Linked DNA regions of Mus musculus. The protein of the gene in region 2 purifies or fractionates together with the protein of the main gene of each other region. This does not show direct contact. Links are inferred from orthologs where the notes say so. Each region holds a gene or a part of one and is shown on either strand. Other genes may lie near its edges.

The links. The genes of interacting proteins can lie anywhere in the genome.
Region 1: the proteins of Phlpp1 (region 2) and Usp12 purify together in Homo sapiens (affinity purification with mass spectrometry; 4 studies listed by BioGRID and IntAct, with this or other methods). This does not show direct contact. The link is inferred for Mus musculus from reciprocal best matches to the Homo sapiens genes PHLPP1 and USP12.
Region 3: the proteins of Phlpp1 (region 2) and Usp1 purify together in Homo sapiens (affinity purification with mass spectrometry; 6 studies listed by BioGRID and IntAct, counting the BioPlex papers as one, with this or other methods). This does not show direct contact. The link is inferred for Mus musculus from reciprocal best matches to the Homo sapiens genes PHLPP1 and USP1.

What each region holds. Positions count from the first base shown.
Region 1 is NC_000071.6:146,749,815-146,753,460, forward strand, and holds part of Usp12 (ubiquitin carboxyl-terminal hydrolase 12), read right to left. Parts: intron 2,488-3,646; coding exon of another isoform or gene 2,374-2,487; exon of another isoform or gene 2,268-2,373; intron 2,156-2,267; coding exon 2,079-2,155; intron 1,965-2,078; coding exon 1,881-1,964; intron 1-1,880. UniProt on the Homo sapiens protein: Deubiquitinating enzyme that plays various roles in the regulation of the immune response and inflammation.
Region 2 is NC_000067.6:106,170,515-106,174,696, reverse strand, and holds the start of Phlpp1 (PH domain leucine-rich repeat-containing protein phosphatase 1), read right to left. Parts: upstream 2,829-4,182; 5' UTR 2,694-2,828; coding exon 1,250-2,693; intron 1-1,249. UniProt on the Homo sapiens protein: Protein phosphatase involved in regulation of Akt and PKC signaling.
Region 3 is NC_000070.6:98,930,306-98,933,951, reverse strand, and holds part of Usp1 (ubiquitin carboxyl-terminal hydrolase 1), read right to left. Parts: intron 3,093-3,646; coding exon 2,404-3,092; intron 1,767-2,403; coding exon 1,596-1,766; intron 1,129-1,595; coding exon 927-1,128; intron 1-926. UniProt on the Homo sapiens protein: Negative regulator of DNA damage repair which specifically deubiquitinates monoubiquitinated FANCD2. Also involved in PCNA-mediated translesion synthesis (TLS) by deubiquitinating monoubiquitinated PCNA.

The DNA.
Region 1 (3,646 bases), on a different chromosome or scaffold from region 2:
GAGCCACAGTGAGTTCACAAGTCATGGCTTTCAGTACAGACAGGCACAGAGCAGAGCTATGAATGGCCACACATCCTTTGCTCAGTTCAGGAGCTCAGGAACCTGAACAGCAAGGCACACATTTCCCCACAGCAGGACCACACAGCAGCACAGGATCAGCTAGTTCCAACGTGAGCTCAGAACGTATGAGGGAGCAACAGCCCAGAGGAGCCACAGGGACCTCCCCTCGCCACCAGCTGGGCTGTGGATAACCGGAACACAAAAACAGGAAGAGTAATGGACTGTCTGGGTGTGCCTCAAGTTTTTAAAATGGCAGTTTAATGAAGAATGAAGTATTTGCAATCTTTAAATCTACACTAAATACTTAAAAATTGCAGCAGGAGAAACCGTAGCTTACAAGAATAATTCCAGGAAATACCTTAACCAAGAGTTGGGTGACAGTGGCAGCAGCAGTGTCGTGTGCAGAGACCCAGCATGGCCAGCAGACTCCCTGGCACTTGGGAACTGAGGTCTAAGGAGCGCCTCAAACCACACTCATCAGCTCTCCCTCGGGCCCGAGCTGTCTGACCAGCACCTGCTTCCCTCTGAGGGCCTGGAATTCGGAGCCAAGGAACCGAGTAAGCCTGCACAATAAGCCTGGAATGGCAAACCCGGGCATGGAGCCCTCAAAGAGCTTCCCATGATGTCATTAGACAGGGGAAATTCAGTGTCTTGTGTCACTTCACTGGAACAGGGCCTCTTGGAAATCTGCCTGGCTTTGTCCTTTGCTCTGTATCTTTTTCAGTGATGACATTAGCTGTGAGCATGACTGCATACCAAGCACTGAGTTAACAAGATGCATCTCCGCAAGACTCCTCTAAGACATCTAAGCCCAACACCTGAAGACATGAACCACAGATGTAGCGTATGGTTCCGGCCTGGCACCATTCATCGAGCGATTCTCACGGAGCCGTAACTGCTAAGGCTGACAGTAAGAATGTGGGACTGGAGCTGGAGAGACGGCACAACTATTAAAGGCTAAACGCACAAACTAAACGTAGAACTGGAGAGACAGCTCAGCGGATACGAATGCATGCTATGTAAGCACGAGAATGGCATTTGGATCCCAGTACCCACGAGGTTAAAAAAAGAAAACAAAACCCTGAGGCAGGTACGGCAGGGCACCCGTCTATCCCAGTGCTTAGGAGATAGAGGCAGGAAGCTCTCAGAGTCTAAGACCCGCCCGGTTTCCAGAGTTCGAGGGCAGACAGGGCTGCATGATGTGAGGCACACACACCAAATGGCAGGAGGGACCTGAGCAGAGGCAAGAGGATCACTGGGGCTCACTAGCTACACCTATCCACAAAACAGTGAGTGGGCGAGCACAGGTCCAGTGCTAGTCCCTGTCAGAGGGAAAACAGGGCAAAGAGCAACTGAGAGGAAAATCCAGTGTCCATGTCCTCCTCTGCCTGTGCATATGCACAATCTACAGACGCCCACACACACACACACACACACACAGAGAGAGAGAGAGAGAGAGAGAGAGAGAGAGACAGAGACAGAGACAGAGACAGAGACAGAGAGAGAGTGTGTGTGTCAAGAAGCAGCACTCAATGTGCAATTCTGCACATCATTTTCAGATAGAAAAGCCTACCCAACATCCCTGGCCACAGAATCATTAAAATAATTTTGAAACAGGCTGGCAAAATAGTTCTGCCCGAGCCTGAAGATCTGAGGTGAGACCCTTAGCTGGTAGAAGGGTGGAGTCCTGAAAATAGTCCCCTGAACACGAGTCAGCATCCCCACACACTCACACCACCACATTCTGATGTCCGAACTCGGGAGGGAGGGAGGGAGGGAGGGAGGGAGGGAGGGAGGGAAGGAGGGAGGCATCCACGTACCGCTTGTGTGCTTCCTGCTTGCTCCGGCACTCTTCACAGTAGTACTTATATTCACTGCACAGAGTTTCTGTGTTACTGAACCCTCTGTGAAAAACACAAATTGGGCTTGTTAGGGATACCTGAGAATTACTAATTCGCTTAAAAATCTTCTAAACGAAAGTAAATATGAAACTGCAGAGAAAATAATCCTACACAAACCTTAAGCAGTGAGTAATTGATGTGTTTTGTTCCACGTCAACAGAAAGGTCTAAAAAATCTTCATCTTTGCTGCTTATCTGTAAAACAGGAGTTATTTCAATGACCAGGAAACCAGTTTCCAGCTGCCAGGTTCAATGTCCTATACTCAAAAGACACCCACTTGGTCTGAAATACCAGAAAAGCACCGAGCAACTGTCCACCTCGTACATCTCCTGGATGGGAAGACACCCAGCACCTGACCAGCTCCCTGGCTCCCCAGTGACGACACAGGGAGTACACAGTGTCGCCCTGGTCCTCAGAAGCACAGGCTCCATGTGGACACCGCCCAGGTGCTCTGGACGAGATCTTCAAGGCCAGGACTTGTAGGACGAGCCACCGAGGTTGGAGAACTGGGTGGGACTGACTTGGCCTGTGATAATGGATATAGACTGATGTCCCTGATGCAGAACGAGAGTCACATACAATGAAACTTGGCAACATCCACATTTAAGGGGGAAAAATGGAAAAAGGCAAGGCAAGGTGTGTGACTGAAATCAGCCTTGGAAGAACAGAGGAAAGCACAGAGAGGTACAGCAGCGGGGCTGGCTCCCTTCTGAACCTCCACTGTATTCACTGTATCCACGGCACACCTAACTCAGGATGGAGCCCGGCCTGGCCTTTAACACTGTCTGGACATCACTGGCCATCTTTGCTCCCTGCTGGGCATCTTGAAGGCAAGACTTCCAGCTTAATAATCTCCTACTCTCTACTCTCCACTCACCGTCGCTCTGGCAGAGTTGGTTCTTAGATTTGTGTGTCATCAAACAAAGAAACGATGTGTATTTACACACTCCGGAGAACACCCAGCTTTCACTCCCTAGCTTATTTCGATAAAGGCAGCCACATGAGTACTCACTGTGAATCGGCATAATGATGGCCACAGAACTTATTGGTAGCAAAACAGTACCTACCCCATACAAGTTACATTAATGAATAGTCAGACTTTCGAACAGAATGGCTAATATTGCTTTCTCCTTCAAAAAGCTTTCTTGTCTGTCTTCCCCATCCAATACAAACCTGACTTCTCACCTATTACTACATTTCTCAACATGTTAAGTAACTACTTTGTTTTATTGAAGGCTAAAGTGTGTGTATGTATGTACCAATACATATATGTACACATATATTGATGTCTTGTAACAGATCAAAGTTCATTATAATAAACATAAAACATCCAATTCCCTGATTGTATCCAATATTCCAATGGAAACATTGCTGTAACAACTAGCAATCAAACATTGCCCTGCACCACTGACTGCTGGTTCAGGCAATGAAAAAGGCCCACACCACAGCCAGCCTTTCTCTAGCCAAAAGCATCTTCACAGACAGCATCTTCCTTGACCTGGATGAGACCCACCACGAAGAATCACACAGGAAGGGCAACTGTATTTATTTCCTAGTGCAAGGCTATCTGATTCTTGGCAACCAATCTAGAGCTTTGTCTTGGCCAAGCGTCCACCCGAAGGGCGCTCCCGTCCTTGAGGGCACGCGGTACTGTTCTATTCCAACAACAACCACATGTACAACTG
Region 2 (4,182 bases):
GAACATATCATCCATTAAGATATTAGTTCCAGGAAAATGCTATTGTATTACAATTTGGTTTTCTTTATAAGGCAAATATTAATCAAAATATCCACTTAAGTTCAAAAAAGCTTCAATAAAACAGTTTATGTTTATGTCCAGGGATGAGGCCTTGCATTATCAACGTAAGTGTTAAAGACTCATTCATTCAAACCAAACTGCAACTAGGGCACATGTTGAACTAAAATGAAAAAACACTAATGTGGAAGAACCAACCACTATGGGAGTCACGAGGTTGTTAGTATATACACCTAAATGTAACACCAAAAGTTTTATTGCTCTTAAGCTAGCTAGCTAAGTTCTGACCACTAAAAACTCTTTCAACCAGAAAATGCAATAACTTACCAAGCTCAAAAACAATAACCAATAGCCCTGTAACTCCACAAATTAGTTCCAGCCAAGAGGAGAAACTGACTGGTCACACCCGTATAGGCACTTGAACAGATACTAAAAATGCTAGAGAGGAGTTCAGGTCATATCAGAAGCAGTAATCACCGACATTATTAAGTCTAGTCTATTTCAAGTATCTGACAATAAAAGCTATAACTCAGAAACAGGCCAATTCATTTTTTTTTTAAGATTCAAACTTGGAAACTGAAATAAAGCAATGAAAGAGGGCAGAAGGTAAGCAGCACCCAAAACAAGGAACATACCCACTTCTCAGGTGTCAATGAGGACTCAGCGAGCAAATACGCACGCGTGGCAGACAGTGGAACAAACAAGAGCATCAGTTGACAAGAACAAAGTTCCCAAGAGGCCCACGCTGCACTTTACTGTCTACGAATGGTAAACTGTGGACAGTTGAATAGAGGAAGGCATCATGGAGCATTTTTTCGTTGGTCATTGTCCTCTGTCTATATTAAAGTGTCAAGGAGTTACCTGGAATCCCAAAACGCCTGCAACCCAACGAACCAGAGCAGAGGCCTGGAGGAAACCACCTTTAAAGTTAGGGACTGGTACCCCTCTAGGGTGTTACCTGTTTCCTGTATTTCCAGGTGACTTTGTCACCTTGTCCACCTGGCTTTCCAACCTCAGGCCTGGACACTCTAAACCTTGCAGATTTCAAGAATGCTCAATTTAGTACTTGCACAGGCGGCATGTGAACAAGCTAGAAAAAGAGTGTCAGACAGACTCACCAGGCCCCTGGAATCATTTATCGATCCCTGCCAAGGTTCGAAGCCATGCATAAACATGCAGGCAACTTCCTTACCTGCATAGAATCGAATGAGACAGCCAATCTCTGAGTCCATGCCTTCCTCCTGCACCCTCCACAGCTCCCCAAATCCCAGTTGGAAGAGGTAGTCATTTTGGATCTGCAATGGCTTCTCGTCCGCCTCCAGGCGCCGGGTAGTCTCTCCATGGAGCTGTACATACAGGGAGGGCGGAGATGTCTTTTGCACGGTCTCCCGTATCCTCCCCGAAGTCGACAGAGGAACGTCCGGAGCTGCGGCTGCCATCGCCTTATCGTCTCCGGGACCCTCGCCCGCTATCACGCCAGTGCTGTCTACGCCCGTCGGGGCTTTCGGCTGCAGTAAAGCCGAGGTCTTCGGGGAAGGCGGCCGAGGCTGCGCGGGGCGGCCGGGGCGGTGGGGCATGGCCGGATCAGCCTCTAACTCCTCCGACGACGACGAGGAGCCGCCGCCGCCGCTGCTGTAGGGGTCCAGCCGGTCTGACACGCTCTCGGCGCTGGGGCTCAGGCTGAAGCTCTCGGTGTCAGAGGCCGGGCGCGGGGCGCGGGGAGGGGACCCGGGGCCGCCCGCGAACAGCTCTCCGGGGCTGGAGTCCGAAGGCGCGGGGCTGATGCGGGGTGCACAGCGCGTCCAGGCGCCCCCGGGCAGCGGCAGATCGGCGGGAGGCGCGCGCGCAGGGCCCCGGACAGCACCAACAGTGCCGCTCGAGGGCGGTGGCTCCACGTCCCTTCCGTGCTCTCCGTCCAGGGTCTGATCGCTGGCGGCAGGGGCGGCGGCGGGAGGCGGCCCGTAGCCCAGCACCTTCACCACCCCGCCGCCTTTGTGGCCCAGCTGCAGAAGCCGGGCCGCCACCTCGGCGGCCGTGGTGTCCAGCGTGCAGAGCACTGGGCGCAGGTAGGACGAGGCCATGTGGCGGTCAAAGACGTGCACACAGCCCCGCTGGAGCTGGTGCCTCACCCAGTCCCTGTCCGACGGCTGCAGCTGAAGCAGCTGCCGGTGCTTCAGGAGCAGCGTCTTCCTGTCCAGGCTCCGGGTGCACAGCGACGCCGAGGCCGAGCAGGACGCCGGGAGGCCGCCAGCGGCCGAAGACGCCGAGGACGGCGACGAGGACGACGAGGCGGCGGCGGCGGCCGACAGATTCCTCTTCAGCCGCCCTCTCTTCAGCAGCAGCGAGTTGGCGCCGCCGCCGGCCGCGGGCACCGGAGCGGCCCCACCGGCCGCGGGCTGGGGAGCTCCCCGCCGCCGCCTGCGCCCGGTGCCTCCGGCGCGGCCGGGCAGCGGCCCCGGCGGCGCCTCGCAGGGGGCCTCCTCTCGCGCCGCGCCGCCGTTCCCGCCGCTCGGGGCCGCCGCGCTCAGCGCGGGATCCGGACACCGGCCGCCCTCGGCCGCCGCCGCCGCCAGGGCTTGGTCCTCACCCGTGGGGTCCGCGAGTCGCTGTGCCGGGGCTGCAGCGGCGGGCTCCATCGTAGCGGGGCTTCACGTCGCTCCCCCAGCTCCGGAGGCAGCGGAGGAGGAGGAGGTGAGGCGAAGGTGGGAGACGGCGGCGGCGGCGGCGCGAAGAGAACGGAGACGCCGATGGCGTTCGGCGCGGCCGCTCCAGAGGATTATGTGGCGATCCGGAGCATTCCGTCGGTGTCTCGGTGTTCCATCCCGCGCGCCGCCCGCCCGTTTCGCCGCCACCGCCCCCCCACACACACCCTCCCCGCGGGTCGCGGGCTCCCCAGCGCCAGGCCCCGCCCGCTGCTGGACAGCCTCAGCTCCCGGGAGCTGCGGCCCGAGCTCGCCTCATGAATATTAATGAAGCGCGGGAAGGCGGGCGGTGGCGGGGCGGAGTTGATCATGAATATGCATCGTTAGCATGACGACATTTCTGCGGAGAGCGGGAGGCTGGGGGCGGGGCCTCAGGGTAAACAAACGTGACGCGTGCGTACGGGGGTGGGGCGGAGCTGTTTCCCAGGAGGTTTGTCCTCGCCATAGAGGAGAGGTGGCGAGAGGGGCTCGCGTTGCACAGTGGGGGTTGTAGTTCATCTTCGTGTCGAGGATACCCAGAAGAGACCAACAGCGAACTACAAGGCCCAGATATCATCAAATTCTGCCCACCCTCTCCTCCAGCTTCTGGCCCTTGTTGGTGGGTATTGTGCCCTCTGCCGTTGAACTCTGTGTCCTGTGAACGTTTTTCATTAACTTGATCCTCTCCTGCTTGCCAGATGAGTTTTATTTTCCTGGCTAATTGAAATTGAGAGTTTTTAGGAACTCTAAACTCTAGGTAAGGCCTTTGTATGAGACAAAAATACATACACAGTTCACAGGATCGCTGGCCCCGTCTTCCTGACTTTTTCCGCACTTTTTTCAAGGCCCATGAAAGCTAGCAGTGTTTGCACTCAAATTAAACCCATTTACTCCCTCCCCTATTAGGACAGAAATAGCTAAGGACCTGCTTGGAGCCTTGTATCCCGTTGGTTTTAAGCTTAAAAGAAGCTTAACGACACAAAGCAGTGGACGAAGGAAGAAATATTAAAATGGAGTCATAGTGGGATAGGAGATAGACTTGCTTTCTCTTGGTTCTTTCTGGATTTTTCTTTCCGCACTCGGGGCCGGGTAGAAAGGGTGAATGAGACAAGGTTTCCCAGTCTAGTCTGTTCTCCATACTTCCGTCCACAAACTGCTCACCACCTACGCTCTACCTATGTTGTATGGGTGTTTACTGTTACATTGTATGATCTATAAACATTTTTTTATTGGTTGAACCAAGCTGGTTTAGGGCAATTAACTATTTGAAATAATTTGATAAACGTTGGTCATTGAGTTGCCACTCTCATGATGGCATTGCAGATGTAGACACTAATTAAAAGTCTTTTTCCGGAGTTAGAGGGCTCAGCAGCTAAGAGCGTGGGCTGCTCTTCAAGAAGACCCATATAATAGCTCACCCTGAAGACAGTGCTCCAATGTAATG
Region 3 (3,646 bases), on a different chromosome or scaffold from region 2:
GAAAATGCACACACAAAAATATTAAAATAGGACCTAGGTATAACGGTGCGCACATTTAGTCCTGGCACTTGAGAGGCAGAGGTAAGTGGATCTCTTGAGTTCAAGGCCAACTTGGTGTACATAGCAAACTCCAGACCATTCAGAGCTCCTCAGTGAGGCACTCTTTAACTGATGTTTGGGTGTTTCTGTGGAAAGTATATTTTCTTCATTCTTTTATTAGATTTGTACACTAGGAAATTAGCATGCAGAAACCATGAAGTATACAATAGCATATCAGAAAAGACAAGATTATTCAAAACAGCCACTTTTATATCTATTTTTAAAAGCTTTTGGACAAATTCTCAACTACAAAATTTCCCAAAGTTTTCAGAAATGAACTAGATTTCCTTTAAAACTGAAAATTTTAATCCCCTCCCCATTCCCCAATGTCAGGTATGGTGGCTCACATCTGTAATCCTAGCTTGAGTCTGAGTCAACCCTATCTATCTCAGAGAAGGAATAGATTGTAGATTTCTCAGCCTTTTAATCCCAGCACTCAGTAAGCAGAAGGAAGTGAGTTTGAGTTCAAGGCCAGCCTAGCCTACTCAGACACTCTGTCTTGGAAGTAAATTTATAAAAAAAAGAAAAAGAAAAAATTACTCCATTTCAGTCCCACAGAAGCAGACTTCTACTACTAGCACCTACAGAACGCATATGAAAAGGTGTGTGAGAACTGTACTGGGCTTTCTGGAGCTACAGTTCAAACCCAGAACCTTCTCTCTGCTAGACAAGCACACTGAACTGAACCACCAGCTCCAAAAGAGCATATATTTATGCCCAGTGAACCTGCTTACTAAGAGCACAGAGTCGATTCTCACAAACGACTTCACTTGGCACAGCACTGTAGACAAAGCCACTGTCTCCCTCGGCTTATTCACAATACTCACTCCAAGCCACTAGCAGCAAAGCACTTCAGATGAATAGTGATAACTTCAGGCATTTTATCAAACAGGAGACTTCGCTCTGCTTCCGTATAATGATGGCAATTTTCACAGAAGTATTTATCCTCTCCTACAATTCTCTCCACTGAAGCAAACTGTGAAATTGCCCATCTCAAGGTCTTCATTTCTGTTTTTGGCTCTGGAGAAACTGTAAAACAGAATTGTTCACTCATAAATATCTTTCAGACATTGAAAACTTAAACCAAGTTTCATGTGCAATATCATTCAGTTTCAAATAACTGATCCCCAACATCTAAATACTTAGTATTAGCCGAACATACACACACACACACACACACACACACACACACACACACACACACACAGAGAGACACACACCAAAAGCCAAATAAGCCCAAGTCTCAGGTCAGTCGCCAGTCTCGTGATTCCTCAGGACATTTCCATACTTTTTATGATTTACATTGAACACAACAGTAGCTCAAGTAGTAACTTAAAATGACTTCAGTTAATAAAATATTAAGGTCTCAGATGTTAAAGTATTTCATTTTTTCCATTACAAATTGGCAAGTAGAATTAACAAGTGGTGCTGAGAACAGGAAGGACGCTCTAGCCATCTCAGTCTGCACACACAGGCTTCCCCGCCCGTCCGCTTACTTTCAGAGCTCTCCTCGACCTTGGAAAGCTCATCTTCTTGCACTGGAACACTAATATCCTGGAAATCTTCTCTTCTTTCTGTTAAGCTTTCACATTCCAAACACCGAGTCCTTAACACGAGCTGACCTTGAAACAGTTTCTCTACTAGCTCAAAGCCAATCTGTTCAGCACCTAAAATGAAAATGGGAAAATGTTTATGCAGATTTGCTTTTCAGTATAGCCCAATTCATTAATTCCCTATTGAAAGTACATCGTGAACACAAAACCTGTTTTCATATCTTATTAAGCAGTGCTTTATTCATGAAATGTAAAATTCCTACCAAAAATTTTTTAAATATGAATTACTATCTTTAGAACAATGTCGGCTGTGTCTTTAACTTGCTTCCTAAAGACATGTCTTTATAAAACTGCCCCAGAGAAACAAATCTTTTGGAGCAACCATCAACCACAATAACTACAGCACGCCCGGCAGATTTTCCCTAAGAGGAATGAATACATGAGTAAACAAAACCAAGCAAAGCAGTTATATCTCAGGTCTAAGACTCACTGAACTCAGTTTCCCTTGAGCTCATACTGCATAGATAAAAGGCGCAAAAAAACAGCTTTCCCATTAAAAAGGTTTTTCCCCTTTTTAATTAAAAAGGTTTTTCCCATTAAAAAGGTTTTTAACTTCCCAAGTTTAGAAACCATCAAGCAAAATTACCCTAATAACAACAGCACTACATAATACATGTACAGTGCTGTGGCAAATTGACTATCTTAAATCCTGTCCATCACCCTCACTAGCCAACCTAGTAACTGCACTGACCTTTGTTTCCGGACTTGGCTTCACTGCTGTCCACAGGTGTGACGCTACTTCCTGGAGATTCGGGTCCACCATTAGCTGTGTGGTCACTTCCGTACTTCTCCAAGTCCTCTTCAACATCACCCTCCTTTTCCTTAGGTTGTCCTTTGGAGCGCTGGTTAGTTGTTATTTTTCCAAGACTACAGAACTTGGAAAGAATGCTGGGTTGCTTAGTGGATGGCTTTAACCAATTTATTTTAACTTTTGATTTCTTCTGTGAGGGCTTTGCACTCTCACTTTCAGAAACACACTTGGGGATGATCTTAGGAGCAGCCTCTAGTGTGTCTCCGATAGCTTTTCTCTTGGATCTGGTTTGTCTCTGGTTTTCTTCCAATGGCTGGGATTCCCTGGACAGTTTAACCTTTTTCTTCACGTTACTCGACTCACTGTCACTTTTTCTTTTCCAGTTCCCTTTGGGGAGCTGCTCTTTGACGTCCTCCGTATTCCTCATACTGTCAATCTCTGTGCTGGTAATTCCACCTGTTTCCTCTTTCTGAAGAGATTGTTCTTCAACCTTGCCGGATAATTCAGCCAGGTTTTTTATTTCTTCTTTTTTTAGGAGTTGGCATGTTTCTTGAATGTTTCCCAGAATACACTGTAGCACTTCCTGTGCATCATGCTGTAGAAATCCTTCATACATAGGGTTGAGTTCCCTATGAATAAAAAGGCTCACTTTAGCTAATTCTAGTTTTGTTTAGTCAGAGAAATTTTTCTATTAGCTATTTTAAATATCCAAAAGCATTCTACTAATTTGAAAACTCTTACCTAAATTTACAGTTGAAAGTAAAAACAATTTGACCATTATTTATGATATTATATTATAATACCATCACCCTCTTCTACATTATACGTTTGTGTGTGTGCTCACGCATTCACAAGGGCTCCCATGTATGTACATGTTTATTTTTGAGCACATACAAGTATTTGTAACCTGCATGACACATTTTATATACAGATCCACAAGTTATAATCTGAACTTCCTTAGGACCACGTGTCCAGGAATCCTCGCTGGTCTATGGGGCACTGAAGTGGTAACTGTTTCCTACTTCCCCAAGTCCCCTTCAAGATTATGCTCATGTCCTTTAGGTTGTCCTTTAGAGCACAGGTTTATTGTTATTCTCCCCAGCCTATAGAACTTGAAAAGAATGCTTAGTGACCAGCTTTAACCAATTTAACTTTTGATTTCTTTTGTGTCTTACATTCATGG